Linked DNA regions of Callithrix jacchus. The protein of the gene in region 1 interacts with the protein of each later gene in a pairwise test. Links are inferred from orthologs where the notes say so. Each region holds a gene or a part of one and is shown in the gene's direction. Other genes may lie near its edges. The genes, in order: CCNH, DUSP12, KLC3, SSX2IP and ZNRD2.

What was found.
Region 2: the proteins of CCNH (region 1) and DUSP12 interact in binary tests that used the Homo sapiens proteins (3 or more experiments, as listed by UniProt). The two-hybrid records come from large-scale screens. The link is inferred for Callithrix jacchus from reciprocal best matches to the Homo sapiens genes CCNH and DUSP12.
Region 3: the proteins of CCNH (region 1) and KLC3 interact in binary tests that used the Homo sapiens proteins (3 or more experiments, as listed by UniProt). The two-hybrid records come from large-scale screens. The link is inferred for Callithrix jacchus from reciprocal best matches to the Homo sapiens genes CCNH and KLC3.
Region 4: the proteins of CCNH (region 1) and SSX2IP interact in binary tests that used the Homo sapiens proteins (3 or more experiments, as listed by UniProt). The link is inferred for Callithrix jacchus from reciprocal best matches to the Homo sapiens genes CCNH and SSX2IP.
Region 5: the proteins of CCNH (region 1) and ZNRD2 interact in binary tests that used the Homo sapiens proteins (3 or more experiments, as listed by UniProt). The two-hybrid records come from large-scale screens. The link is inferred for Callithrix jacchus from reciprocal best matches to the Homo sapiens genes CCNH and ZNRD2.

What each region holds. Positions count from the first base shown.
Region 1 is NC_133503.1:123,462,488-123,468,604, forward strand, and holds part of CCNH (cyclin-H), read left to right. Parts: intron 1-110; coding exon 111-233; intron 234-2,047; coding exon 2,048-2,121; intron 2,122-3,219; coding exon 3,220-3,430; intron 3,431-6,117. UniProt on the Homo sapiens protein: Regulates CDK7, the catalytic subunit of the CDK-activating kinase (CAK) enzymatic complex. CAK activates the cyclin-associated kinases CDK1, CDK2, CDK4 and CDK6 by threonine phosphorylation.
Region 2 is NC_133519.1:21,596,720-21,602,357, forward strand, and holds the end of DUSP12 (dual specificity protein phosphatase 12), read left to right. Parts: intron 1-3,434; coding exon 3,435-3,596; 3' UTR 3,597-3,843; downstream 3,844-5,638. UniProt on the Homo sapiens protein: Dual specificity phosphatase; can dephosphorylate both phosphotyrosine and phosphoserine or phosphothreonine residues. Can dephosphorylate glucokinase (in vitro).
Region 3 is NC_133523.1:39,523,775-39,530,558, forward strand, and holds the start of KLC3 (kinesin light chain 3), read left to right. Parts: upstream 1-2,240; 5' UTR 2,241-2,343; coding exon 2,344-2,485; intron 2,486-2,842; coding exon 2,843-3,108; intron 3,109-4,391; coding exon 4,392-4,622; intron 4,623-5,178; coding exon 5,179-5,245; intron 5,246-5,615; coding exon 5,616-5,835; intron 5,836-6,279; coding exon 6,280-6,367; intron 6,368-6,442; coding exon 6,443-6,544; intron 6,545-6,784. UniProt on the Homo sapiens protein: Kinesin is a microtubule-associated force-producing protein that may play a role in organelle transport. Plays a role during spermiogenesis in the development of the sperm tail midpiece and in the normal function of spermatozoa.
Region 4 is NC_133508.1:121,862,614-121,868,730, reverse strand, and holds part of SSX2IP (afadin- and alpha-actinin-binding protein), read left to right. Parts: intron 1-185; coding exon 186-351; intron 352-1,091; exon of another isoform or gene 1,092-1,286; intron 1,287-3,939; coding exon 3,940-4,114; 3' UTR 4,115-6,117. UniProt on the Homo sapiens protein: Belongs to an adhesion system, which plays a role in the organization of homotypic, interneuronal and heterotypic cell-cell adherens junctions (AJs).
Region 5 is NC_133511.1:122,651,866-122,657,741, forward strand, and holds ZNRD2 (protein ZNRD2), read left to right. Parts: upstream 1-3,196; 5' UTR 3,197-3,229; coding exon 3,230-3,248; intron 3,249-3,339; coding exon 3,340-3,491; intron 3,492-3,617; coding exon 3,618-3,702; intron 3,703-4,118; coding exon 4,119-4,462; 3' UTR 4,463-4,496; downstream 4,497-5,876. Other genes in the region: FAM89B (leucine repeat adapter protein 25), read left to right, coding at 5,412-5,702. UniProt on the Homo sapiens protein: Might play a role in mitosis. Antigenic molecule. Could be a centromere-associated protein. May induce anti-centromere antibodies.

The sequences.
Region 1 (6,117 bases):
GTGATGTATTTTCCTTCGTTGGAGATATAAACTAAATTTAATCTAGTTAGAGAAAAATATTTTACAGTTGTTTAATTCACTGAACTTGTGTTGTAATTGTTGACCTAAAGGTTCTTCCGAATGATCCAGTCTTTCTTGAGCCTCATGAAGAAATGACACTCTGTAAATACTATGAGAAAAGGTTACTGGAATTCTGTTCAGTGTTTAAGCCGGCAATGCCAAGGTCTGTTGTGGTAAGTTACGGTAGTGATGAAATATGATGTCCTTTAGTTGGCTTGTGAAATCTGACCTCTTCTAAATTTGTAGCTAAGTTCCCAGTCCATTTTAGTTTTAAAAATCACCTTTGTTACATTTAATTAGCTTTTGACACATTATATATTTTTCAATACAGGCCTTAAATCATGAATTGCTGTATCATCTCTTCCAACGTATTTCAAGTCTCATTTTGTAGTAAAAAAAAAAAAAAAAAAAAGAAAATTGAGGTCAGGTAATGGTATAAATAAAGAAAATTAACTTACTTTCCTCTAAGTTTTCAACTAGTGAGCCTTAGAACCAGAAATAGAACTAGACTACTGCTTTTCCAACTCTATGACACCCGGTAGATGTTTGAAATAATACATTCATTCATCATTTGTAATCATATGCTCCAGCTGAAACTGATGCCATAAGATTTTTTTTTTAAGCTTTGATTAGTAGAAGCTGGAGTTTTATCTTTGGTTAAAAAGATTGTCATATTGTTTCAGATGTATGATTCTGAGGACCTGTGGGTTTTTTTTGTTTGTTTGTTTGTTTTGCTGGGGTGCACAACAGTGAGGAGAAACAGGTAGCTGAGATTAAAAAGCTGAAAGATAAAAAAGTGTAATGGGGGAGTGTTAAAAATGTTTTTATGTTATTTTATCAGGTTTGTTGTGAAGACTAAATGTAAAAGTCTATTTTAAGTAAAAGTCTGTTAAGTTTTAAAGCTATATACAATGCGATTAGCTTCTAGGAAATTATCTCCATTTTTATTGTTGAAAAAACATTGAAGTATGTCGAAAATATTAAGTCATATAACTTATTTTTTTTTCCATATGAGATATCAAAGATTCAGAGAGTTTTAGGTGTACTCAGTTTCTGTCTTCAGATTTGGCTTATTCTTACAAAAGAATTGTAAAATGAGGCAGTAAATTTAAGTGATTTTATCAAATGAAGAAACCTTTAATAAACTTCTTTATGGAATTTATCTTTAAATAACATGTTTGTGATTGGTGAATAATTTTTTGTTTTAAATAATGACAAAACTAAACTTTTAAAATATTTAAAAGGAAATATTTTTTCTATCATAAAATAGATAAGTGGTTATTTTATTGGTTCCAGCCAAGTGATATAATGGTTAAAAGTACAGGCAGGTGTTAACTTGAATTCATTCCTGTTCCTTATTAGCTGTGTGACTTAGATAAGTCAGTTAACCTTATTGATAACTCAGTTTCCTTCTCTGTAGAGATAGTAATACTTCACTAAGCTGTTGTAGGGATTAAAACATGATGATAGTTTAGAGTCTGGCACATGGGATGCATTCAGTAAATAGTAGTGCTGCTTTTGCTGTTCAGTTAGCAGCAGTGATCACAAATCATGGAGTGGACATACGGTTATGTAAAAAATATGAAGTGACTTTAGAGAGAAGGCTTATTACCTTACCCATGTATTTTTGTTAATATTTTTATAAGATTGGTTAATCTCTGAACATTTGTATTTTTTCTCCTTGAATTTAATTCAGGTCATTTTTGGTACTCTGAATTCTGAAACACACATACCCTATTTTTAAATCCAGTGACCATAGGAAGGATTAGCCAGAGTAGTCTGGGGATAGACAACCAAAGGACGGGAAAGGGTCTTTTGGCTATGGCATTTATGTAGTAATTCATCAATTTATTTTGATTAAAGAAGAATTAATATTAGCATTTTTATGGGTAATCTCTACAAAGAAACCTTTCCATAAGTAAATTCTGTTTCACAAAATTTAACAGGTAACATTTGTGAATACTGATGATTTTTTTTTAACCCTTAGGGTACAGCTTGTATGTATTTCAAGCGTTTTTATCTTAATAATTCAGTAATGGAATATCATCCCAGGATAATAATGTGAGTATGTCTGTCTAATTTATTTTCATTTAAAGAGACTTTTATACTCTTTGAGTATTTGTGGAAGGAGAGTTGTGTCAGAGAACTGACTTCCTAATCTAGGTCATTTAGACTTGAATTTTTTTTTTTTTTTTTTTTTTAATTCAGAACTTAAGATCTCTATTTACCTATACTTCGGTAATACTGATGGCATCTGAACTTCAAGTTGTCCAGATTCAAATTTTGTTTTTCTCAATTAGGTGCTTCTCTAATATCTCTCCCTGTTAGACGCCTAAGTTCTTCCAGTTGTTCAGACCGAGAATCATTTGTAGTGGCCCCTCTCCTTCCACATGCAGTCAGTGTTTGGATGCTATAACTTCAGATTCATTTCAGTTGAACAAAGGTCTCTTGTTTCTGCTCTCTGCTGAGCACTGTGTCTATCATTAAAGTTGAAATTAGTATGAGACTCATCAAAGAGCTTGTTCTCAATGACAACGTACCTGTTTTCTCTTTTCGATTCCCATTTCCTCCAGTCAAGATTAGGCCCTTGATCTCACTTCCAACCTTGATTTTTGCAATAGCTTTTTTAACTAGTTTCTTATACTGAACAGCATGAAGTGGCCAGGTAAATTTCACACATTTGTCCCTGAAATAATAATTCCTTATTCAGATGCCCTCAGAGACTTCCATGGATGGGCTTCCACAAAGTTCCTTAAACCTACTTTTCTTCCCATGCTTATATGATATATAAGCGGGTATTGCTTTATTTTTAACTCTTTGTCTACATGATACAAAGTATTCTTATTCCTCAGTTAATTTGTTTTTCCAGATACTTAGGTTGTCCTGCATGACACTGTCATTGAGTGAATGATGGTTGAATGCCATGGCAATATTAGTTGGTTTGACCTGATTTTATAGTCTGCCTTATGTCTCCTAATGGATGAAAGTGTGAACAAAGAGCTATCTTAAAAATATATATATATTCCTGCAATGTCTACCAGTCACTTTTGAATATCAGACAATTATAGAATATACTTTTAGAAATAAATTAGATATTTCTCAAAGTATATGCATGTTGTTCCACCCCCCACCCCCGTACCTCCTTATTTTTTCCTCTAGGCTCACTTGTGCATTTTTGGCCTGCAAAGTAGATGAATTCAATGTATCTAGTCCTCAGTTTGTTGGAAACCTTCGGGAGAGTCCTCTTGGACAGGAGAAGGCACTTGAACAGATACTGGAGTATGAACTACTACTTATACAGCAACTTAATTTCCACCTTATTGTCCACAATCCTTACAGACCATTTGAAGGCTTCCTCATTGACTTAAAGGTAAACTTGATGTAAAATAAACGAACACATCGCCTTTCCTATTCTTTAACCAAGAGAATCCAAAATTTTAAAACCCTTAATTGTTATACCTTGGATATACCACAGGCCCTCGATGACATGTGGATCTGACCTGGTCATCGAGGGCAGTTGTTTCCAAACTTCTGTGGGCATGAACAGACATCTGGAGAAATTGTTAACTCAGATTGTTGGGTGGGACTTACAGAGTTTCTGATATAAGTGATCTGCAGTTCTGCTCCAGGGACGTAATGAAGACCATGGAGAATTTAGAACAGTGCCTATAAAGGTTTGAGATAACTCTTCTGACTTTGAATTATATTGTCATGGATATTGGCATGATTTAAAGAACCATAAATTCTTAAACTTAAACTAGAAGATTGCTAAGTCACTTCTATTTTTAGAGGTTTGTGAACTTGAGTCACTATGTAGGCATCAATAATATATGTAAACAAACATTGACAAAAGCAACCTTTAGATTGTTTTGTTTGGCTCTGACAGAATAGTTGGATAGTCTAAGTCGAGTCAAACAGAAATCAGAAACTGGTTTATTCATATTAGTTCAGTGGCTCAATTTGGGTACTTTTTATGTGCCAGACTTTGTGCTTGAGGATGTAACCAGAAACAGGAGAGGAACAGTCTTAACTTTTGGGAATTTTACAGTCTAACAGTTTTAGATAATCATATCCAGTGTGCTAAGTGATACAGAGAGGAAGATATATTTTAGAAGGAGATAACAGATTAAGGGGTAAGGAAAATATTCTGAGAATGTATCATTTAAAATAAAATTCAGAGTAGGAATAGGTGAGAGAAGAACATCCCAATCAGAGACTTCACTGGTCAAAAGCTCAAATTCAAGAAACCATTCTTTGCTAAAGAACCTGGGCAGAGCCTAGCAATGCAAGGGGAAGAATATCACAGACAACAACTACCAGTGTGGAAGGCAAAGTCTAGAATGTGGAGACAATGATACACATTTCCAATACAGCAAAGAGAAGCCAGTGAAAGGTTTAAATTTAGAGTGGCATAATTAGATTTTCAGCTTTAAAACATCATGTTGGCAACCTTATGCATCAGGCTGCATCAGGTATTTATTGCACATCTGTTGTGTCAGGCATACGTGGAGAAAGGATTTGAATGAATTAAGGGAGTAATGGGGTACTGTTAAAGGATTCCAGGCAAAAGATGGTGGTGAGCTTCACTCATATGAAGTTCATGAACTCTGGGCTTGAGTTACAGTCTGAATATCCCTTATCTGAAAAACTAGGGACCAAAAGTATTTGGGATTTCGCACACACACACACTCAAAATCCTTATATATTTTGTTCCACTTTAGGTTCTGGGGTGCATGTACAGAACATGCAGGATTGTTGCATAGGTACATACATACATGGCATGTGGTTTGATGTCTCCATCCCTCTGGTCACCTGTATCTGGCATTTCTCCAAGTGTTATCCCTCCCCATCCTCCCTACCCCTCTATGTCCCTCCCTTATTCACCCCACAACAGACCCCATTGTGTGATACTCCCCTCCCTGTGTCCATGTGTTCTCATTGTTCAACACCCGCCTGTGAGTGAGAACATGCAGTGTTTGATTTTCTGTTCTTGTGTCAGTTTGCTAAGAATGATGGTTTCCAGATTCACCCATGTTCCTACAAAAGACATGAACTCATCATTTTTTATGGCTGCATAGTATTTTATGATTTATATGTACCACATTTTCCTTGTCCAGTCTATCATCAGTGGGCATTTGGGTTGGTTCCAGGTCTTTGCTATTGTAAATAGTGCTGCAGTGAACATACAAGCGCATGTGTCTTTATAATAGAGTGATTTATAATCCTTTGGATATATACCCAGTAATGGCATCTCTAGGTCCTTGAGGAATCGCTACACTGTCTTCCACATGGTTGAACTAATTTACACTCCCACCAACAATGTAAAAGTGTTCCAATTTCTCCACATCCTCTCCAGCATATGTTGTCCCCAGATTTTTTGATGATTGCCATTCTAACTGACATGACATGGTATGTCAGTGTGGTTTTGATTTGCATTTCTCTAGTGACCAGTGATGAACATTTTTTCGTATGTTTGTTGGCATCATATATGTCTTTTGAAAATTGTCTATTCATGTCCTTCACCCACTTTTGAATGGGTTTGTTTTTTTTCTTGTAAATCTGTTTTAATTCTTTGTAGATTCTGGATATTAGTCCTTTGTCAGATGGGTAGATTGGAAAAAATTTTTCCCATTCTGTTGGTTGCCGGTTCACTCTAATGATTCTTTTGCTGTACAGAAGCTCTGGACTTTAATTAGATCCCATTTGTCTATTTTGGCTTTTGTTGCCAGTGCTTTTGGTGTTTTAGTCATGAAGTCCTTGCCTGTGCCTATGTGCTGAATGGTATTGCCTAGGTTTTCTTCTGGGGTTTTTATGGTGCCAGGTCTTATGTTTAAGTCTTTAATCCATCTGGAGTTAATTTTAGTGTAAGGTGTCAGGAAGGGGTCCAGTTTCTGCTTTCTGCACATGGCTAGCCAGTTTTCCCAATACCATTTATTAAACAGGGAATCCTTTCCCCATTGCTTGTTTTTGTCGTGTTCGTCAAAACGTTCGTTGTAGCTGTGTGGTGTTGCCTTTGAGGCCTCTGTTCTGTTCCTTTGGTCTGTTTCTCTGTTTTGG
Region 2 (5,638 bases), on another chromosome or scaffold:
TGACATCTTACATAAAAATGTGTTTAACTTGGTTGGAGTGCGCCATGACAGCCACATTTCTCCTTTAGGTTTATTTGATACTAATGTGAAGGTATTCTATAATAATAATCTTAATAATGATTTTGAATGTTTGTATGATTTGTATAAAAGTTTGTATAGTGGCTATTTTATGAAACCCTTTAACTATATCATTTGAAGAATGCCATAGCTTTATAAAATAGGTAGAGCAGTTATATTTACATTTTATGCATGAGGAAACTGTTTATCAGTTAGTGTCTTCCCTAGAAGGTGGTACCCTATGATCAAACTCACATTTTCAGATGATGCTGGTTTTTAAAAAAACCACCTTATTATAGTATAATTCACAGGACATACAATTTACCTATTTAAGGTGTACAATTCAGTGGTTTTTTAAAAGTGTATTCACAGTGTTTTTTGCAACCGCCATCATGTATTAGTCCATTTTCACACTGCTTTAAGATAGTATGTGAGACTGGGTAATTTATAAAGGAAAGGTTTAATTGACTCATGATTCTGCATGGCTGGGGAGGCCTCAGGAAACTTATAATCGTGTTGGAAGGGAAAGCAGGCCTCCTCTTCACAAGGCGGCAGGAGAGAGAAGCATGTGTGAAGGAGAAGCTATCACTTATAAAACCATTGGATCTTATAAAAACTAACTCACTATCGCAAGAACAGCATGGGGGAATCCGCCTCTATGATCCAGTCACCTCCCTTCCTCCACATGTGGGGATTACAATTTGAGATGAGATTTGGATGAGGACACAGGGCCAAACCTTATCACATTACCATTCACAGCACCCGAAAAATAATGTACACATTATCAGTCACTTCCCATTCTTTTTTTTTTTTGAGATGGAGTTTTGCTCTTGTGACCCTAGCTGGAGTGCAATGACGGGATCTTGGCTCACTGTAACCTCCACCTCCTGGGTTCAGGCAATTCTCCTGCCTCAGCCTCCTGAGTAGCTGGGATTACAGGCACGTGCCACCTTGGCCAGCTAATTTTTTGTATTTTTAATAGAGACGGGGTTTCACCATGTTGACCAGCATGGTCTCGATCTCTTGACCTCATGATCCACCCGCCTCGGCCTCCCAAAGTGCTGGGATTACAGGTGTGAGCCACTGCGCCTGGCCCTAACTTCCCATTCTTGATGGCATTATTTGTAGCAGTTAGAGTTTTTAATTTCGGTTATATCTAATTCATCAGTTTTTCTTTTTTGTGGCTTGTGATTTTGACTTTCTGATTTTATTTAACCTGGGAAACAAACACACACTCCAACCAAGTTAAATACATTTTTATGTAAGATTCTGAATCCTGTGCATACTTCTTTGTATACATAGTTGAATTTTTTTCTATAGAATATGTACCTAGAAGTGGAATTCCTGGTTCAAAGAAGGTGTGTTTTAAATATTAGTGATATTCTAGTACAATATCCAAAATACTCATATAAATTTGGGTTTCAGTAACAGAATGCATGTACCCCATATCCTTGACATGATAGATACTATACAACTGGTAATGTTTTGTCAACCTGTGGGGTAAAAAATGTTAATCCTAAAATGTTTAATTGGAATTTTGTGAAAATAGTCATCGACCACCATCTTTATATATTTACCAGCCATTTATAGTTTACTTTTCTATAAATTGCTCTCATATTCCCGGGCCCATTTGTCTATGGGTTTTATAAACTCTTTCTTACTGATTTTTTTTTTTTTTTTTTTTTTTTTGAGACAGAGTCTCACTCTGTCACCAGGCTGGAGTGCAGTGGCACAATCTTGAAATCTCCGCTCACTGCAACCTCCGCCTCCTGGGTTCAAGTGATTTTCCTGTCTCAGCCTCTCACGTATCTGGGACTACAGGTGTGCGTCCCCACACCCAGCTAATTTTTGTATTGTTAGTAGAGATGAGGTTGTACCATGTTGGCCAGGCTGGTCTCAATCTCTTGACCACGTGATCTGCCCACCTCAGCCTCCCAAAGTGCTGGGATTACAAGTGTGAGCCACTGTGCCCGGCCTTCTTACTGATTTGTTGGAACTTTATATATTCTAGATGTTAATAGTTTATCTAATATATTATAACTATTTTCTTCAGTCTATTGCTTTTCTCACTTTTTTTGTATGTTTTGTCATATTAAAAAATGAAAGATATTTACATAATCAAATTTGTTAGATTTTTATTTGTGGCTTCTGAACTTTTTTTTTTTTGAGATGGAAGCTGTTACCTAGGCTGGAGTGCAGTGGCACGATCTCAGCTCACTGCAACCTCTGCCTCCCGAGTTCAAGTGGTTCTCCTGCCTCAGCCTCTCAAGGATTACAGGTGCCTGCCACCATGCCTGGCTAATTTTTGTATTTTTAGTAGAGACAGAGTTTTATCATGTTGGCCAGGCTGGTCTCAAATTCTTGACATCAGGTGATCTGCCCACCTCAGCCTCGCAAAGTGCTGGGATTACAGGTGTGAGCCACCGCACCTAACCCACTTCTGAGTTTTATGTCTAGATTTTCTATAGCTCAAGATTAAAAATAAAAACCCCTACCTTATATCATGCACAAATCAAAGAGCTAAACATAAAAAATAATGCTGTAACTAAGTACATTAGAAGAAAATGAAATAGCCGGGCACGGTGGCTCAAGCCTGTAATCCTAGCACTTTGGGAGGCTGAGGCAGGTGGATCACGAGGTCAAGAGATTGAGACCATCCTGGTCAATATGGTGAAACCCTGTCTCTACTAAAAATACAAAAAATTAGCTGGGCATGGTGGTGCGTGCCTGTAATCCCAGCTACTCAGGAGGCTGAGGCAGGAGAATTACCTGAACCCAGGAGGCAGAGATTGTGGTGAGCCAAGATCTCACCATTGCACTCCAGCCTGGGTAACAAAAGCGAAACTCCGTCTCAAATTTAAAAAAAAATGAAGAAGAAAATGAAATTGACTTACTAGGTTTTTTTTTGATTTAGCTATTTTCCTGGAATATCAGTTTGTCTTTAAATAGCCAAGAATCTGACTTATATGCTGTCAATACATATGGTTAGTAATATAGCACGAAAATCCTAACATGCTTTTCTGTACTTTAGCTGTGATGATTTTCATTTGAAATCCTAAATTATAAACTGATTTAAAAGCTATATATGTATGCCACATCCATGAAACTTTCCTTATATCACAAGCTTCACTTTTCTCCCTTCAAGCTACATCTGTTCCTTCTCTAAACTTCCTGAATACAACATTCTTCCTATGCAGTAATTGTAGTCTAGTATCTATTACAGTAAGTTTCCAATGCATTTTATCTTAGTGATTAGATTATAAACTCAAGGCGGGGACTGCGCCTTACTTGTTTTAATGGCCTGTATTGAATACCAAAGATAATGACTTGTTTTATATAAAGCGAATGAATAAAGTAACACATTTGCTTTATTTCAGCTTCTTTGTCCAAAATGCAGTGCCAAATTGGGTTCCTTCAACTGGTATGGTGAACAGTGCTCGTGTGGTAGATGGATAACACCTGCTTTTCAAATACATAAGAATAGAGTGGATGAAATGAAAATATTGCCTATTTTGGGATCACAAACAAGAAAAATATGAACATGGTATTTTACAGCTTCGGAAGAAACTTGCAGATGATATGTGCTGCCCTTACTTCTTACCATTCATGGCAGATTGTTTAGGCTATCAGCATTTCATTTGAAATGTGAGAAGATAAAATCACTTGATGTAACCTGGAAACTATGCTTTGTTAGCTTATTACGTGATATAAGTAGAATACTTTACGTGGCAACCAAAACCTTTTAGCCATATACATTGTATTTGATATTAAAATCTTTTATAACCAGATACTGTCTACATTTCATGTATTTTTTTAAGTTCTGATTTTTGGAATGTTACATGATCTTAAGGTCTGTATAGACAAAATTATTTACAAAAAAATTTGAAACTATTAAATTTAAATGGGTATTCTTTTATTTTCAGAAATGTAAAGCAGATTCGTTGAGACATATTTTGGAATTATTTCTCTTTCTTTCTTCCTTTCCTTTCCCTTTTCCTTCCCTTCCCTTCGCCTTCCCTTTCCCTCCCCTCCCCCTTCCCTTCCCTTCCCTTCCCTTCCCCTCCCCATTCCCTTCCTCTCACTCCCTCTCCCCTCCCCTAACCCCTTCCCTTCTCCTCCCCTCCCTCTTCCTTTCTCCTCCCCTGCCCTTCCCCTTCCCTTCCTCTTCCCTTCCCCTTCCTTTCCTTTCTTTATTTTCTTTTTTTTTTTTTTGAGACAAAAAAAAAGCCTGTTGCCCAGGCTAGAGTGCAGTGGCAGGATCTTAGCTTATTGCAACCGCCGCCTCCCAGGTTCAGGTGAATCTCCTGCCTCAGCCTCCCAAGTAGCTGCGATTATAGGTGCCTGCTACCACGCCCAGCTAATTTTTTAACATTTTTAGTAGAGGCAGGGTTTTGTCATGTTCCCCAGACTGGTTTTGAACTCCTGAGCTTAGGCAATCTGCCCGTCTTGGTCTCCCAAAGTGCCGGGATTACAGATGTGAAAGCCACTGCACCTGGCCTCTTTAAGGGATGTTAATAAACCCATACATATCTGGATTTTTTTTCTTAGAAATATAAAGGAAAGGCCATTAGTAAAACACTAATTAAAATGCAATTTTCCTATTATTGTTCAGTAATCCCAGTTATCTATATTTTTAGAAAAGTGTTTGAGATCTCTTTTGAAGTGATTTATATAAAGAAATGTGTTACTGTTAGATGTGTTTCTAATGATAAAACAAATGTAGTTACTATATATCAAGTCATTTTTAGCCCAATATGTGAATATTGGAAAAGGTAATATGTTCAGATTAGATTTTTAACCTGATCTATAGAAACCCAGAATTATTTTACTCAATAATTACAATTGGACCTAATTAGGTATTTGAACATTTACAAGAATCACAATTAACTAATAAAGGCCAGGTGCAGTGGCTAACGCCTGTAATCCTAGCACTTTGGGAGGCCAAGGCAGGCAGATCAGTTAAAGTCAGGAGTTTGGCCAACATGGTGAAGCTCCATCTCTACTAAAAATAAAAAATTAGCCAGGCATGGTGGCACACACCTGTAGTCCCAGCTGCTCAGGACACTACTCCAAAAAAACTAATAAAGAAAAATATTGTCCATGTCCTCAAGACATTTTGCATATTTACACATATGTATGTATCTATGTATATAATAAACACCATAGTGGGAGTAATTTTAAAATACAAAAATATGTTGTGAATAATGATCCTCTTAATAAATGCCTAGCTCAATTTTTAAATATATGGGAATATTACGGAAAATTCTTGAGAAAAATCTTAACATTGGACCTGAAGCCTTTGGCAATCTCCATGTAATCATTTTTCTTTTTTTTATTTTTTGAGATGGAGTTTCACTATTGTTTCCCAGGCTGGAGTGCAATGGCACAATCTCAGCTTACTGCAACCTTCGCTGCCTGGGTTCAAGCGATTTGCCTGCCTCAGCCTCCCAAGTAGCTGGGATTCTGGTGTGCGTCACTATGCTTCGCTAATTTTGTATTTTTAGCAGAGACGGGGTTTCAACATGTTGGTCATCGAACTCCTGACCTCAAATGATCCACCCACCGTAGCCTCCCAAAGTGC
Region 3 (6,784 bases), on another chromosome or scaffold:
AAGACCATCCTGGCCAACACGTTGAAACCCCATCTCTACTAAAAATACAAAATATTAGCTGGGTGTGGTGGCATGCGCCTTTAGTCCCAGCTACTTGGGAGGCTGAGGCAGGAGAATCACTTGAACCCAGGAGGCGGAGGTTGCAGTGAGCCGAGATCCTTCCATTGCACTCCAGCCTCGGCGACAGAGTGAGACTGTCTCAAAAAAATTTTTTTTAAATGTTCACACACATCAACATCAACACATATATACATATATCTAGAGAGAGAGATCAGTGACAAGTCTGTGGTGCACAAAGTGTGCAGGCCCCTTACTGTATGTGATTGCGCGTGTGTGACATAGAAACTGCTGCACTGCTTATGGTGGACGCAGTGCCTTGAGCGAAGTGTGCGTGAACGTGGCATCCCTCCGCGCACATCCACAGCTTTCTGTTCTGACAGCGGAACTGAATCGCAGTACACAGTGTGTAGGTGTGGGAGTCCCTGCTGGCCAGGCCTGGAGGGGGAGGAGGAGGAGGTGGGGAAGCTGGCGGGGGCTCCAAAATGATCCTGGGAGTATGTGAATCTAGAGGTGTGTGAGGCACTTTATGGGGCTGTGTGAGTTTGGGAGACAGTGTCAGGGTCAGGTGCACGGAGATGGTCTGAGTGAGTGATTTCACGAGTGGGAGAGACAGTTAGTTTCTGCGTGAGTTTTCCTCTGCTTAGACTAGCATCTTTTTCTTTTCTTTTTTTTTTTTTTTTTTGAGAAGGCATCTCACTCTGTCATCAGGCTGGAGTGCAGTGGCACCCTCTCGGCTCACTGCAACCTCGGCCTCCCAGGTTCAAGTGATTCTCCTGCCTCAGCCTCCCAAGTAGCTGATATTACAGGCACCCACCACCACATTGAGCTTAATTTTTGTATTTTTAGTAGAGAGGGGGTTTCACCATGTTGGCCAGGCTGGTCGCAAACGCCTGACCTCAGGGGATTCACCCGCCTCAGCCTCCCAGTGCTGGGATTACAGGCGTGAGCCACCATGCCCAGCCTTGGCTTTTATTTCTGAAAATATACCTGTGAGTTGGGTGGAATTTCTAAAAGGGAAGTGTGTACAGATTGTTTTTGAAGGAACAGTATATGTGTGTGTGCCTGAGTGTGTTGTTAGGTTGTATTTCTAAAAGGAAAATGTAGGTGTGTGTAGAGTTGTATTTTTAAGAGGAGAATGTATATGTTGATTTTTTTTTTTTTTTCTGTTTTAAACTGGGTCTTGTGCTGTCGCCCAGGCTGAGCGGTGCAGCTCCAACCTCCTGGGTTCAAGCGATCCTTCCACCTCAGCCTCCAGGTATGCCACCAACCACACCTGGCTAAATTTTTGATTTTGTTTGTAGAGATGGGGTCTCGCTGTTTCCCAGGCTGGTCTCAAACTCCTGGTCTCAAGTGGTCCTCCTGCCTCAGCCAGAATTCCAGAGTGCTGGGAATACAGGTGTGAGCCACACACCTGGCCTCCACTGTATTTCTAATGAGGGAGTATGTGTGTGTAACTATTTTTGGAGGGTACATGAGTATACCATGTTTTTTGTTTTGAGACAGAGTCTTATTCTGTAACCCAAGCTGGATTGCAGTGGCACGATCTGGGCTCACTGCAACCTCCACCTCCCAGGTTCAAGAGATTCTCCTGCCTCAGCCTCCTGAGTAGCTGGGACAACAGGTGCCCACCCCCACACCCAGCTAATTTTGTTTTGTATTTTTAGTAGAGATGGGGTTTCACCAGGTTGGCCAGGCTGGTCTCAAATTCCTGGCCTCAAGTGATCTGCCTGCCTCAGCTTCCCAAAGTGCTGGGATAACAGGCATGAACCTCCATGCCGGTCCCTGTCTTGTATTTGAGAGAAGGGGACATTTGTGTGTGTGTCAAATTGTATTTCAGAGAGGAGAATGTGGGTGTTGCATTGTGCCTTTAAGAAGGGAGGGTGAGGTGTGTGAGGTGTGCTTCTGAGGAGTGTGTGTGTCTAGGAGGACCCCAGAGGCATCGCCAGCTAAGCTGTGACCCACATACAACCACATGAAGTCCCATGGAGGGGCCCTGCCCACTGTGAGCTGGGCTTCAGACCCTCAGCTGTCCCATGGCCAGTGTGACATCCCTGGACCACACCTATCACATGTGTGTCCCAACAGGCCCTGGGCTGGCTGAGCCTGTCTGTGATGGAAGAGGGTGGAGCCCCTGTTACCTGGGAGCCGACACATGACCCCCTCCTCTACCCCCCCAACCTAGAGGCCTCCTGGGCTTCCAGGGGCCCCAGCCCCTCAGCCTTCTCCTCCCACCACACCCCACCCCCAGTGGTCTGACTGGTTCCCAACAAAAACACCCTAAGAATGAGCTCACGCAGAGGCTGCCGCCTCCACATGTCCCGCCCCACTTGCCCGGCAGAGGAGGGTGCCTCTCCCAGGTCACACGGCCGACCTGGAGCTCTGGGCCCAGAGATCCAGGGGCCTTGGGGTGGGGAAGGCTGGGCAGGTGAGCTGAGGGAAGATGGGGGACCCCCAGGCCAGCTGTTTGCCCTCTCTTGGTTAATTATGCATAGGATTTGGGCAGAACCCTGGGTTGGGAGGACAGAGGAAGGTAGGTTAGAATGTTCTAGATGAGAGCTGGCTAGGTGGGGGGCTGGGGGACAGTCAGCTGAGGGCTGGGATGTGTGTGGAAACTGGGATGCAGAGGGTATGGAGGCAGAGGGCTGGCCAGAATGGGTGGAGTGGGGAAGAGATAGGATGGGGAGAAGTTAGGGGTCCTGATGGCTATTATGGGAGTAGAGGCTGGGGCCAGCTTGCTTGGCCCTGGCAATGATTCCCTGACCCCCCCACTGTTACCCTCCAGAAGCAGCAATGTCTGTGCAGGTGGCAGCACCCGGAAGCGCGGGGCTGGGCCCAGAGCGCCTGAGCCCTGAGGAGCTGGTGCGGCAGACGCGTCAAGTGGTACAGGGTCTGGAGGCGCTGCGGGCAGAGCACTGTGGCCTGGCAGGGCACCTGGCGCAGGCGCTGGCGGGACAAGGCCCAGTGGCTGGCTGGGAGATGCTGGAGGAAAAGCAGCAGGTGGTGAGCCACTCGCTGGAGGCCATCGAGCTGGGGCTGGGCGAGGCCCAGGTATGAGGGGGGCTAGGTGGGGGGCTGGGGGACAGTCAGCTGAGGGTGGGGGAGGGCCAGGTATGAAGCTCACTATTGCAGAGGGGCACACTGGGAGCCTGAAGCCGGCTAATCATGAGATCAGGAGTTCGAGACCAGCCTGGTATCATAGTGAAAACCCATCTCTACTAAAAATTCAAAAACTAAAGGATTACATGCCTGTAATCCCAGCACTTGGGTAGGCTGAGGTGGGCAGATCACGAGGTCAGGAGTTAGAGACCAGCCTGTCCAACCTAGTGAAACCCGGTCTTTACTAAATATTCAAAAATCAGCCCAGTGTTGTGGCAGGCGCTTGTAGTCCCAGCTACTCAGGAGGCCGAGGTAGGAAAACAGCTTGAAGCTGGGAGGCAGAGGTTGCAGTGAGCGGAGATTAAGCCATTGTACTCTAGCCTGAGCAGCAAGAGTGAAACTCCATCTCAAAGTAAAAACAAAAAAAATTAGCTGGGCATGGTGGTACGTGGCTGTAGTCCTAGCTACGCAGGAGACCGAGGCAGGAGGATCACTTGAATCTGGGAGATGGAGGTTGCAGTAAGCCGAGATTGTGCCACTGCACTCCAGCCTGGGTGACAGAGCGAGACTGTCTCAAAAAAAAGTATGGCAGAGCCGGGTGCGGTGACTCACACCTGTAATCCCAGCACTTTGGGAGGCCAAGGTGGGTGGATCATGAGGTCAAGAGATCGAGACCAGCCTGGTCAACATGGTGAAACCCCGTCTCTACTAAAAATACAAAAATTAGCTAGGCATGGTGGCACATGCCTGTAGTCCCAGCTCCTCAGGAAGCTGAGGCAGGAGAATTGAACCTGGGAGGCGGAGGTTGCAGTGAGCCAAGATCATGCCACTGCTCTCCAGCCTGGGTGACAGAGCGAGACTCCACCTCAAAAAAAAAAAAAATGCCAGAGAGGCGCAATGCTGCAGGGCGAGGCCTGGGGAAATCAGGCCTGGGAAGGGGAGGCTCCAGGCCAGAGACCGAGTCCCTTGGCAGCTTTATGGGGTCCTTGTGACAGGGACCCCTGAACCAGATGGCATTCTTCAGCAAACTGAGTCCTGGGGTGAGTGTGGGGGTGAAATCAGAGGGGCCCCTGGGAAACTGAGGACACTGGAGCTGCATTGGTGGAGTCTCTGCAGAACTTGGGGTATTGTGCATAGCAGTGAGGGGCTGCAGCCTGATTTGAGGCCTGGGCTGGGTTGTGGGCTGCCTGGAAGGGTAGGAACCAGCATCGACTTAGGACCCCCACCCCGGGCAGGTACTGCTGGCCCTGTCAGCACACATGGGTACACTGGAGGCAGAGAAGCAGCGGCTGCGGGCACAGGCCCGGCGGCTAGCCCAGGAGAACGTGTGGCTTCGGGAGGAACTGGAGGAGACACAGCGGCGGCTTCGGGCCAGCGAGGAGGCTGTGGCCCAGCTGGAGGAGGAGAAGCACCACCTGGAGTTCCTGGGGCAACTGCGACAGTATGACCCATCTCCAGAAAGCCAGGTACCACAGGCAGGTCAAGGCGGCATGGGGGCTTCACCCTTCACAGAGCCCGACAGTCCCCCCAGACCCTCCTTAGAGTCCTACAGTTCCCCGACTCTCCTTATATTTCCCAGACCCTGCTTTGAGTCCTATAGTCCCCCAGAACCTCCTTAGAGCCCCCCAACCCTCCTTAGAGTCCCTCTGTAGAGTCCCACAGTCCCCCAGACCCTCGTTACAGTTCCCCTGACCCTCTGGAGAGTCCCACAGTCCCCCCAACCCTCCTTAGAGCCCCAGTCCCCCAGAACCTCCTTAGAGTTCCTTAGAGTCCCACAGTCCCCTAGAGCCTCCTTAGTGTCCCACAGTCCCCAGACCCCCAACCCTCCGTAGAGCCCCCAGACAGACCCAGCAGCACTCCTGTAGACACCCCCACCAGCTGCTCCACGAAGTTCCCAGAACCTCGCCTGTCCCCCGGGGCCCCTCACACTCGTGATAACCACCTCCCTCAAACCCTGAGATCCAGGGCCCCATCTCTGAAACCCACACACCTCCTGACCCCCCACTTTCCATGTCCCTGCAGCAGCCTGAGTCCCCGCCTCGCCGAGACAGCCTGGCCTCCCTGTTCCCCAGCGAGGAGGAGAGGAAAGGTGGGTGTCAGGGGGTACATGCCCTGAGGGATGGCAAGGGCGGGGAGGGGGCTCTGAGCTGCCAGACCCTAGTCTCTGAGCAGGGGAGGGGGAGGTAAGGGCAGGTTCAGGAGGACCCTGAATGTGACAATGGGCAGGGTAGCCCCCCTGCACGGCAGGCCCTGTATTCACATTCCACAAGGCAGGTGGGTTGCTGTGTTCCAGCTGGTTAGATGCTAGTGACCCCAATCTTAGAAGTCAGTGTTGGGGGTAGGGCTATAGTTTCAGGGACCAGTTGGGCAGTCTGGCAGTTCTGGGCAGTGTCCCCTCATGCAAGGCTGGAGGAGCAAGAGGCTGCGGTTACTCAGAGCCCACCCCATCCCCCACTTAGGTCCTGAGGCTGCAGGAGCAGCAGCGGCTCAGCAGGGCGGCTACGAGATCCCCGCCCGACTTCGAACCCTGCATAACCTCGTGATCCAGTACGCGGGGCAGGGCCGCTATGAGGTAGCAGTGCCTCTGTGCCGCCAGGCCTTGGAGGACCTGGAGCGCAGCTCCGGCCACTGCCACCCTGACGTGGCCACCATGCTGAACATCCTGGCGCTGGTGTACCGGTGAGTGCTGTGGCTGGCCGTCACTGGGGGAAGGAACGGCAGGGACCGATTGGGTGCTTGTGTTACCCACTCTGCCAGCATGGAGCATCTGGGGAGGTCAGGGCAGGGGACAGCCAGAATAGGAGAGGAAGGAAAAGCTCTGCTATGAGAAGGGGAGAGAGGGAGTGGGACACATCTGGGGGGAGAGTGTCACTTAGCCAGGCAGAGAGGAGTCAGCGTAAACACCAGGGGCCCCAACAGTGCCAGCAAGAGACCTGGGGTGGCTAGAGGCTTGACAGAGGTCTGGGGGCACAAGCTGTGTTAGACACTTAGGAAGGATGGAGGGGCCCCCACAAGGTGCCACCCATGCTTGGTTCAGCCAGGTTCCTCCCAGCCCCTGTGGCTGCAGCTGCCCCAAACCCCTGGCTAACTCCTTCCATCTCTGGGCTGCCCACTGCCCCACAGGGACCAGAACAAGTACAAAGAAGCCACAGACCTACTCCACGATGCCCTGCAGATCCGGGAGCAGACGCTGGGCCCTGAGCACCCTGCGGTGAGTGAGGCCCCGGGGAGGTGGAGTGGGGCTGTCCCCGCCACTCCCTGACCAGTGCCTCCCCCACTCCCACAGGTGGCCGCCACGCTCAACAACTTGGCTGTCCTCTATGGGAAGCGCGGGCGTTACCGGGAGGCAGAGCCCCTGTGCCAGCGTGCTTTGGAGATCCGAGAGAAGGTCCCATCCCCTTGCCCGACCCCGAGGAACCCCGTCCTGTGTAGCCCTCCCCCGAGGAGAACCCCCTGTCCTGTGTAGCCCTCCCCATGCACCCTGAGCACGTACATTGTGACCTTGGTCCTCAGGTGCCCCTTGTGTTTGGTACTGGGAGACCCCAGTTGGAGCCTTGGTCACCCAACCCATCACTCTTGACCTTCTGAGATCCCAGTTTGATCTTGACCCTGACTCCGACGTCTCAGT
Region 4 (6,117 bases), on another chromosome or scaffold:
TAGATCCTTTTAAATATATGTGGACTATGCAACAAAAATAGCAAGATTAATGATATTCAAATTAATTTGTTCAATCTCTTACCTGACTCAGAACTGCAGATGAATCATCCTGGTGATTATTTACCCTCACTATATTTAATGCCTTACCATATATACTGCCTTTTTCCTTCCTTGTTTTAAAACAGGTTCTGATTGGGACAATCTTACAGTACACTCGAGGCAACCGCAAAAGAAGCCTCACAGTATGTCTAATGGGTCTCCAGTCTGCATGTCTAAACTTACTAAATCTCTTCCTGCTTCACCTTCCACTTCAGACTTTTGCCAGACACGTTCCTGTATGTCTGAACATAGGTATTTGTCTATAGGTGATCTTTTCACATATTTCTAAAAATTGCTGAAGTTGCTCTGCAGGAAAGGTGGTGTGTGTGTAGTATCAGCAACAGTAGAGACTTTGGAGAGGAATTAATAGATGATTTATTCATTCTGCAAATATTTGTTGAGGGTCCAGTATATATAGACACTGCTGGATGCTGGGAATACGAGAGTGAACAAGTAGATCTGTTCGTTGTCTTTTTAGAGGTAAATCGTATGTATGTATGTCTTTTTATTTCACATTTAAGATACAACTTAGAATACAGTCTTAATTATAGGAGTTAATGTTTAAAGTGCTTTAATTGTATTAAATAGAAGGATGTTGTTTTGACAGTTTTTGTAGAGTACATATCTTAAATTTTTTTTTCTGGCATGCCCATTTTATTGTTGTTGAAGGGCAAAGAACTGAAAAAACCTATTCATCTTGAGTGATAAAGATCTGTGCCCAAGGATGACAGTGTAAAAATACGTGGCTCTCCACCGTAGGAAACCCGTATATTGCTCTTAATTGCTGCATTTTGATATTTTCCTCTATCTCAAGTTATTAAATCATTTTCTGAGATAACAACAATACTCTACTTCAGAGCCAGTTCCAAGTTTAGTTTTAAATGAAGCAGAGGAAGCAGGTAGAGCATTCCTAGTAAGACAGAGAATAGAAAAGATTAGAGAGATAAGTTGGGAAGTGTGGTGATAATCTCTTTGCTCTTAATTAAAAATAGGAGACAAGGGCCTTGGAAAGCGCCAGTCAGAGCTGAAACAAACTTGGCCTGTGCTAGAGACTGGAGTGGAACTAAGTGTCAAATAAGCCAGCTGGCCCTTGGGCCAAGAACTATGAAATAGATGGAGTTTAAAACAAGAAATGAAACTTAAAAGGAGGAGGAGAACACCCTATAAGTTATGTTCACTTTTAAGAGGTGAGGGGATTAGGACCCCAAGTAAGTGTTAGAGGGAATGAAAAAGAGAGCTAGGTAAGAGCACTCTAGCCAAGTGTAGGTACCCTGAGGTGGGACACACTTCATGCATTTGTGATGGTGAGCATAGTGAACAAGACCTAGAGGTGTGAGATGAGGATGGAGAAATGTAAAAGTTCAAATATGCACAGATACAGAGAGAATCAGATCATGAACCCATGTGTACCTGTCACTCAGGTTCAGCATTTACTAACTCATGATCAGTATTGTTCATATGTAATCCCACTCAGCTTGCTCTCCCCACCCCAAACACATCTGGGATTTTATTTACAGAATATTTTAGTGTGCATTTGTAGGTTAAATATTGTTCTAAGGGGAACAGAAGAAACATTAGTTTTAAGCAACAGAGCGAAAACAAGTTTTATAAAGAGTACTGTTTTATAACGTCGAAAGCAGATTGTAGGAGTCTGTAATATAAACCAGGAAATTCAGTTAGGAGGCACTATTGGAGTGGAAACAAAAGATGATGGTAATTTGGACTAGGGTCATAATGTGAAGATAGAAATGCTTGGATTTGGGATTTATTTTGAAGTTAGAGCCAATAGTTGAGTTGGATATGGGAAGTGAACATTTATTTTACAGTCAAAAGATAATGTGTAAGCTCCTAGTATTTTCTTACATAGAATGTTATTCAGACTTGCAGATTTGACCAATCAGACCTATCTATATAGATATAGATGCAAATTCTGCCACCATTTACAAAGAATGCATTTTATATCTAAGAGATAGCATAATGTAATTGTCTCAATTGTTTTTATATATTTTAAATATTTAGCTTTTTACATAATTGTTTTTAGTTATGAAATATTTGGCATAAGTATTTCTTGAAGGCGTTGTTTTGTGTTTAATAAAGTTCAGCATTTAGTACCTAAATCATAGGGAGTTGCAAGTGAAGTGTTAATATATTAGAAGCACTGAAAAACAGTACCTAGTTACATTATAAACATTTAGTGACAGACTATGAAAATAAAAATATAGGCCATGCACGGTGGCTCACACCTGTAATCCCAGCACTTTGGGAGGCCAAGGCAGGTGGATCACGAGGTCAGGAGTTCAAGACTAGCCTGGCCAACATGATGAAACTCCGTCTCTACTAAAAATATAAAAGGTGTGGTGGCGGGCACCTGTAATCCCAGCTACTCGGGAGGCTGAGTCAGGAGAATCGTTTGAACCCAGGAGGGGGAGGTTGCAGTGAGCCAAGATTGTACCACTGCACTCCAGCCCGGGTGGAGACTGTGTCTCAAAAAATAAATAAAAAATAAAAATATATGTAAACAAATATAAACATGCTTTTCTGTTTCTGAATGCTCCATTCAACAACACCAGTGGTATAGAAACAATTTTGGAGCTTAAAGGAATTCAAGCTATTCATTGTTAACTAGCCTCCAAGAATAAAGCAAACAGAAAAGAGTTTTATAACTAATAGGGAAGCTGTGATTCCTGACATGGTTCTTTACATTTTAAATTATTTGATAAATTTGGTTCTCTTGCTCCTGAAGCATTTAGATCTTGGTTTATATTAATAATAATATTACAACAAAATAATTAGGAGTATTTGTAGCTAATTTCTACAACATCCTCATTGCTCCTTCACTGTAGAATGGAATTTTACATAAAGGCTGTGCCTTAAATTCCGGGCAAGGAGACTTGTGCATAAGTTACTTACAAAACTTAGTTTAATCATTTGTACAGGGATTATGATGACTTATAGTAATTTAGTCATCAGAATCCCTGTACAAATGATCAAACTAGGCATGCATCATTAATCCCAGCTAATTTTTGGTAGAGATAGGGTTTCAGGCTCTTCCTGAATTCCTGTTTGGCTGCCTCAGCCTCAGCCTCCCAAAGTACTAGGATTACAATTGTGAGTTACTGCTCCCAGCCTTTTTTTTTTTTTTTTTTAAAGTAAAATTTTAAACTAGGTTTTTGGTTTAGATTTTTAGAATTAAAAGGAACTTAATATTTTTTAAAGATTGCCACAGTATATGGTTGAGTTAGTAAACAAAAGTCACAAGAAGTGTACCTTTAGAAAAGTTTTTAAGAAAATTACCTAACATATTCACTTGATGAAAAATGTATTATTGTTGGTTCAATTGCATAGATTTTAGAGTTACCATTTTAGCAGATTTATTTTGTTTTGAGGCTGATTGAACCAAAACCATCTCACTAGAGAGTCTGGTCTTTTAGCCACTTCTGAAGTCACTCATTAAGTTTCTGTCTTGGTGGATAGATGAAAGGATGCTTTAACAAGTAGACATGTAAAGAAAGAAAGCATTACAAGATAAATAATAGTGGCAGAAAAATGGAGACATTTGGAATATTAGCTTTCAGAACCCTTAAGCTTCTCTACCTTAAGCTTCAGTTGGACAACATGCATCAAAGTAGGCTAAAGGGATAAATAAATAGATGAATAGATAGGATAAAAGTGATAAATTACACCATTTTGTAACACTTTAATGTTTTTGATCATGTGTCCTCCAAATTTATGTAAATTAGCACAAGACATGGAAGTGATGAGACCTTAGACATCAGGCATGTATACAGTATAAAAGGAGCAGAGGAGAGTCACTAAGATCTGCCTTTCCTTTTCCGACAGTTCAATCAATGTACTGAATATAACTCCTGAAGATATTAAACCAAATCAGGTTGGAGGAGAATGTACAAATCAGAAATGGAGTGTGGCATCAAGACCTGGATCACAGGAAGGTTGCTATAGTGGATGCTCCTTGACCTACACAAATTCTCATGTAGAAAAAGATGACTTACCTTAGACATGTGGACTGGAATTTTTTTCATTAACATATTCATCAAATCTCACATCTAAGTTGAAACAGGGTGTGTCATAAAGTCAATTATCTCTAATAACTTAAGATGGTCTAAGTCGTTTGTTTGGACTTCCCTGTCTTCCCCCAAAGAGTTGAAATGTTAAATCTATTTAAAAGGATATAAAAGCTTTGGATATGTATTTTTAGTAACAGAAGCATCTGGTTCTGTGAATAAAGGAATGTATAGATGTTTGGATGGAAACAAAAGCACTAGAATGAGTTTCCTCTTATAGGTATTAAAAATAGCACTTTTAGGAAACTGATTATTGTAAATGTTTAATTTTGTCTCAAATATAATTGGCATTGGAAGTTTAGCCTTTACTTGAATGTATACTGTAGATTTTTAACAAAGCGAGTTCTATATTTATTATGTTTAGTGTGATTTGAAATTACCTCTTTCATATGTTTTAAATAAAGTGAAATTTATGTATGTTTTGTACATAGATATACATGATTATGTTAAGAGACTTTAAGATTTTAAAGTTTCACACCTCCATAAGTATAGTATTTCATGCCGGTAAAAATATTTTAGTGATATTCTGTTTACAGATGTATTAGGACCATTGATATCATTACATTTAAGAATTCTTTTTAATACATCTGGGCAATAAATGTTTAAAGCTATTCCATGAAGTCTTTAGATAATCAACACTCCTAACATTACATTTTTGAGATTTTTATGACATTAGATTTTTATTTTATATATGTAGGATATTATAATTTTTAAAAGGTCTATTGATAGAGGAATAGGGGCAAGACAAAAGTACCGTTGAATAGAACAATTTAAGAAATTGGTTTAAGATATTGGATAATAGAAGATATTTAAGATATCTATATGGTGATATTTTCCTTATGAGATGGTGCCAGTATAGTAATATCTGTACTAACTAGGGCTTTGTATTTGTTGTCAATAATTTTTTTAATACTTTTTTAATGAGGTATTTACCACTAAAGAAATATGATAATGTAAAACCATCAAATTTTATAATTGAGATATTATGATACTCTGGAAAAACGTGCCATTTCATTTTCAGAAAACTCCTAGGCTCTCTTCAGTCTCTAATGTTTCTGATTGCATGTTTCTTCATGAAAAGTATATTGTTGTTTTGATAGTATAATATAAATATAGGCTCAGCTCTTCCCCAGGATTTTCATCAAAAAGCTTTAAGTGCCTAACCCTGCTTGTCTCTGTACATAGACGCCTGCACAGATCCAGTCCTTGCTAAGTATTGTAGTTTAGGCCCATTTACCTTCCCCTTTACTAATAGTTCAGCCACTTACATGCAGTCACCCTGTTTGTGGCTATTTTAAATTCGTATGATTAAAAAAAAACCTATTTGTGTTATTCATTCACTATACGTTAACTATGTAACTCTTTGGAGTTGCCTAGCAGCAGCCATTTTTTCAGGGCTGATAGGATATCATTAAGAGGATCTTATGAGACATTAGTGGATATATTCATAATACAGTAACCATATTTATAGTCTCAAGGAGCTGGCTCTTGAGCATTAGTCACTCACTACCTTTAGCTTGATGCATGGTCACTTCTTTGCTATTTAAAATACTCTACATGGTACAAAATATCACAGACACTACCATATTCTAAAGGAAGAAATCTAGCTGGGATGTGTTTATTTTTTTGCTTTATGGCAGTAACATGGTCAAAGAAAGGCAGGCACAAATTTTAAATACAGTTAATGAATACATTTGTCAAGAATTTCCCCCCAGGGTTTTGCATGGTATACTTTGTAAGAAGTAAACATTCTGATTTTTAAAGTAAATCTCATATTTCATGACAATGGAGGTCATCTGTTTTTTGTTTTCTGTTTCCATTTTAAAGTGGGTTGAATTCTCAAACTGGAAAGAAAAGTTCCTTGAAACTTACTTTAAAATATAAAGTGTGAAAGAAACAGCAGAATGAAAGCCAAACTCATTATACCCTCGATGTC
Region 5 (5,876 bases), on another chromosome or scaffold:
GAAGGGTCTGAGAGAGCCCAAGCCTACTGCTTCGCAGACACTGGCCTGTTCACTGTGACTGCTGTGAATAGGCTTTACCACCAACACTTGTGAGCACCTTCTATGTCAAGAACTGTGAAGCACCTGAGATTTTACCCAACTTCCAAGCTAACAAGGTAGCCCATCAGGTTCATGGATGCTGGCAGAATACATGAGAGTCCTTCACAGAGACTTTATCACTATGCAGCAAACAGCATGAGCACAGCATATTTCCATCAGTTTCTGTTGACCCTAAGTCCCAAGGGGATGATGCTGATAGGCTCAGGTAGATGTGGGCACACAGTGAATTGCATTGCGGGAGAGGACCCTGAGCTTAGGAAACTCAAAGCTAGTAAGCATGCCTGGCCTCTGCTCTGAAGGGAGACACTATCTCCATCCTCCGTGGCTATTCCCTAGATAAACAGCTTTGAAGCCGGGTGTGGCTCATGCTTGTAATCCTAGCACTTTGGGAGGCTGAAACAGGCAGATCGTCTGAAGTTGGGAGCTTGAGACCAGCCTGGGCACCATGATGAAACCCTGTCTCTACTAAAAATACAAAAAAAATAAAAAAATTTAAAAAAAAATTAGCCAGGTGTGGCAGTGCACACCTGCAATCCCAGCTACTCGGGAGGGTGAGGCACAAGAATCACTTTAACCTGGAAGGTGAAGTTGCAGTGAGCTGATACTGCGCCACTGCACTCTAGCCAGGAGATTAGGGTGATATTTGTTCCCCCAGCGCCCTCCCTGCAGGCTGCAAGGGACCAGGGGCTTCGAGTCTCCGCTGTGGGCCACAGCTCGTGGGCAGCCCTCCCCGGTTATGCCAATGGAGCAGTGTGCACTGGAGTGATGTCCCTCAGTCGCTAGCCCCAGTGGTTTCAGCTACTTCCTGCAGAGGCCCTGAGAGCTGAAGGAATTTGGATGGGCATCATTTGAGTCAGGCATCACTACTGGATGGGACTCTTTCATTGCTCCCTGTCACTGAGTCCCCTCCGCAGACCCTGAAGAAGGACTGTCATCTCCCCATCCTAGTGGCAGCAGCTTTAGACACTCAGGGCCACACCCTCCTCCTGGCTCTTCCCCACCACACTCCTGGTTTTCCTCTCTGCTCCCTCCAGCTGCTCTTTCTGGTCTTTGGCATGACTCCACCTCCTCTGCCTGACCTGGGAATGGTGACCTTCCTGGGGCACCCTGGGCCCTCTTCTCTCCACAGTAAGCCCACCCTTTCCCGCTGTTGTAGATGCCCCCTGTATAACCCCAAGCCTCTGTCTCCAGGCCAGACGTCCTGTCTGAGCTGCAGACTCCCGAGTTTAGGAGCCTCCACTTGGAATGACTCACAAGCATGTCAAACTCAGCAGGGCTGGAACGGAGCTGTGGACCTTGCCCGTGTTTCCAACTCCTCGGCCTCCCTCTTCCTCGCCCATCCGGGGATCAGGCCAGGAAGTGGGGGCCATTCATGCCACCCACCTCCCCAGCACCCCCAGTTCACCCAGTGTTTATATCTCACCTCCCAAATACATCTCCCCGGGGCCAAGTGAGATCTGCTCTCCTGGGATGAAGGCAGGGCGCCCTGACACAGTCCCACGGCAATGAATACATGGGGGATAATACCCCATACAAGGTTGTCATGAGGAATAAATTGAAGAGATTAAGTGGGAGGATTCATCTAAGGGTCTTTGTAGGTGCCAGGCAGCAGAGACAATTGAGTGGACATCGCCATGATGGTAAAATAGTTCGTGCACTGAAGAATTCACAGTAGGGCTGGGATCTGAAGATGGTAATAACCTGGGAGTCTGTGCATGCAGGCTGAAGTCCAAGAGGTGGTTCAGAGACAGTTCCTCTAGTCAGCCTAAGCCTGGGTGCTGTGGTTCACCGCTGTAATCCCAGCACTTCTGGAGGCCGAGGTGGGAGGATCGCTTGAGTCTAGGAGTTGAAGACCAGCCTAAGCAACATGGCAAAACCCCATCACTGCAAAAAAATACAAACAAAACACAACAACAACAACAAAAAAACGGTAGCTCTAGTCAGCCAGACAGAAACGACTTGGAGTACAGACTCTAAGGTACGCAGCTGCCCAGGAGCCTGGCTGGTAGATGGACATGTGAACGGGGCACAGGGCTCTCTAGGTGAGCAGGAGGCAGCAAAAACGACAGTTCTAGGGGGACTACGTGGGAGGAAGATGGGGCCAGGAGGAGGGCACTTCAGGTCAGATTGAGGGAGCCTGTGCCATCGCGAGGGGATTGCTGATGTAATTATGAAAGTCCAGCTCCTTTAACACTGCCCTGGTGTACGACCTCGAGCCCGTGCAGACCACATCTGAGGACCCCTGCCTGCCCTGTCTGGCTTCTCCTAATAAGGGAGAGGATGCATGTGGAAAAAGAACACAGGAGAGAGAGAAAAGCACCAAGGTCCCTGTTCAGAGAGCCCTGGTAATTTTAACTTGCAACTCACCCAAGAAGAGCCTAACGGTCGAAAGAGTATGTAAGAAGCCCCCACCCGACCCTGCCCAGCACGCAGCACTCAAGGGAGGCTGTAACCGGAATGCGCGTGACCGGTACAGCGCTATTCAGTCCGCAGGCTTTTTGAGGGTTTCAACTTCAAAGAAAGGTCGGCTTCGGGGCGGACTTTGCTTCAGTCCCAGGCCTCGGGAGGCAGCGGGGAGACAGATTGGGACACCGAGCATGCACAAGGGGAGGGGTCTTGAAATAGGCGGAAAGCGAGAATGCTCCCCTCCGGGCCGGGTTTGCCAGGCGAAGTGAGAAGCACTGAGGCCTGAGGAAGCTCCACGCGCGCGCAAAGGGCCGCTCGCTGTGATTACTGGGGTGGCGATGGTTGTGAGGACGCTGCTGCCCCGCCTGTGCCGAAAGGGAAACCCCAGGGGAGGCGGAGGCCAGCGGGGACCTGTGGTCCCCTTCATTCACGACGGAAAGGGCTCCCAGATCTTGCGACTTGGAGCAGAATTACCAGAGACGCCCGTCCCGAGGCCCCGAGCGTCGAAAGTTTCAGTCCCCTGGATTCCGGCTGACGACGCGTTCCCCAGGCAGGTTCTCCGCAGCGGCCCACACGCCCCACTGCGGACTCAGCGAGGTGTGAGGACCACGATGAGGCGTCATTTCCGTCGTGATCCGCGGCCGCTGTGGAAGGGGCGGAGCCGCAGCGGAGGGCGCTCCGCTTAGACGTCATTTCTGGTGAGCCCAGCGGCGGCCACGGCAACATGGCCCTGAACGGCGCTGGTGAGGACTTGGGCGGCAGGGGCTTGTGGCTGCGGCTACGGGAGGCAGCCCCCTGCGGCAAGATCCCAGTCTCTATGCCTCTCTTCCCCAGAAGTCGACGACTTCTCCTGGGAACCCCCAACTGAGGCGGAGACGAAGGTGCTGCAGGCGCGACGAGAGCGGCAAGATCGCATCTCCCGGCTCATGGGAGACTGTCTGCTGCGCGGTTACCGCATGCTGGGCGAGACGTGCGCGGACTGCGGGGTGAGGCGAGACCCGGGAGAGTGACGGGATGGGGCGCAGGCCAGGCCATTCAGCCCTTCCTCGGCCCTCCCTTCTGGACCTCAGCGCCGCGTCTCATTCCGGCCCCATGTGCTTTTTGGTCCGTAGACGATCCTCCTCCAAGACAAACAGCGGAAAATCTACTGCGTTGCTTGTCAAGAACTCGACTCAGACGTGGATAAAGATAATCCCGGTGAGGGTAAAAAAAATAATCCGGGAGAGGTGTGTGATTGGCGGAGAAGCGTGATGAGTGGTGATAGAGGCCGCAGAACAGTAGGCCTGGGAGGTGACAGTGGAGTCTCTGGGTGGTGCAGAGGTAAAATGTTTTCTCTTTTAGGCTTTAAAGAGGACTATTCACTCAGTAAGAGCAGCAAGCACCTTCTGTGTGCCAGCCACTGCGCGAGAGTCTGAGCTCAGTCAGACCCAGTACTGATGGAGAGTTGAAGCTAGGGCATAAATGTGATACATAGTAGAAAGTGGATAAGTTGCCTTATAGAGGGACAGGGAAAACACCTCAAGCACAGAAAGAGCAGAGCAGAAAAGGAGATGACTCAGGGCTGAGGTGGGCCAGGCATCCTGACCATTCTACTCACTTTCTCCTCTTTTTAGCTCTGAATGCCCAGGCTGCCCTCTCCCAAGCTCGGGAGCACCAGCTGGCCTCAGCCTCAGAGCCCGCCTTGGGCTCTCGACCTGCACCCCAGCCCCCAGTACCTCGTCCAGAGCACTGTGAGGGAGCTGCAGCAGGGCTCAAGGCAGCCCAGGGACCACCCCCTCCTGCTGTGCCTCCAAATGCAGATGTCATGGCCTGCACACAGACAGCCCTCTTGCAGAAGCTGACCTGGGCCTCTGCTGAACTGGGCGCTAGCACCTCCCTGGAGACTAGCATCCAGCTGTGTGGCCTTATCCGGGCGTGTGCGGAGGCCCTGTGCAGCCTGCAGCAGCTGCAGCACTGAGAGTAGCCCCTGAGAAAAACCCTCTAGAAAAACAGCTGTTCCTCTGTGTGGTTTGTTCTTTTCCTGGTTCTGAGTGTGCATGCCAGCCGCAGCTCCACTCACTTTTTTCAACTTTTGGCCTCTCACCTCTCCACTCTCTGCTCTTCTTGACGCCCTGAGATGAATTGAGCTTGTTTCTGCTCAGTTTCCCCAGTCAGGATGAGGGATTAGCCAGAGGACTATGTGATGCCCCTTTTCTCAAGAAGAGGACATAGCCTCTTCAAAGGTAGGAGCCAGAGGGCTGGACCCTACCCTTGTCTCTGGCAGCACCTCTGCAACCTCTTCCGCCATCCGGTGCCCATTCCCCACCTGGAAGTGAGATTTTGGGTTCCAATCCTCTTGATAGAATCCTCTCTTCCCCTGAGCATTCTGACCCTATCAGCCTATCCCAGCCATGCCCACCCCAGGTACTCAGACACCGACCGACAGGAGTTTGTGGTGACCCCAGCGTCAAGGGGCACGTTAGGCACCAAGTGTGGACTTGCCAGTCTCCTGACTCCACTGTTAGATCATTTTCCTTGGGAGGGTAATGGACAGAACTGGGGGCGGGGGGGAGGCGGGGATCGGGGCGCGGCAGGGAGACGAGGCAGCAAAAGGAACCGCGAAGGAACCACGCCTGCCCCTTTTGGCCTTTCCCCCTCTCCGCCTCCCTTTTCCATCTCCCCTTGGGTGGGTGCCCCGCTGCCTTTTCTCAGCTTTGCGCGAGTGGTTCCACAGCTGTTGCCTTTTTAAGAGAGGCCCGGCCCATGCGGAGGGGGTGGGGCAGAGGCGGAGTCTGAGGAGCTTGGGAAGGAACAAAGCGCGGCCTGCGGGCGGCGGCTGGCTCCGGCGGGACCGCGGGGTGCGGGGCCTGCGGGCGGCCGCCCGGGCAGAGCGTTGAAAGGAAGAAGGTGGCATCGCCGGCCCGGCCATGAACGGGCTGCCCTCGGCCGAGGCGTCAAGCGGCGCGGGTTGCGCCCTGGCCGGGCTCCCACCGCTGCCGCGCGGCCTCAGCGGCCTCCTTAACGCGAGCGGGGGCTCGTGGCGGGAGCTGGAGCGCATCTACAGCCAGCGCAGCCGCATCCACGACGAACTGAGCCGCGCCGCCCGCGCCCCGGATGGGCCCCGCCACGCCGCGGGTGCCGCCAACGCGGGACCCGCAGCCGGCCCTCGTCGTCCTGTCAACCTCGACTCGGCACTGGCCGCGCTGCGCAAGGAGATGGTGAGTGGGTGGGCGCCGGACCAGCGGAGCGCAGACACCCAGACAAGCTGCCTGGGTCTCAGAGAACTTGCAGGCACAGGTCGGGTTCCAAGGGTTATGGGAACGATAATTAGTGATAGTTACCAATTACGGCAGTAGTTACCCTATATTTCCAGACGTCTTGATGACGTTACT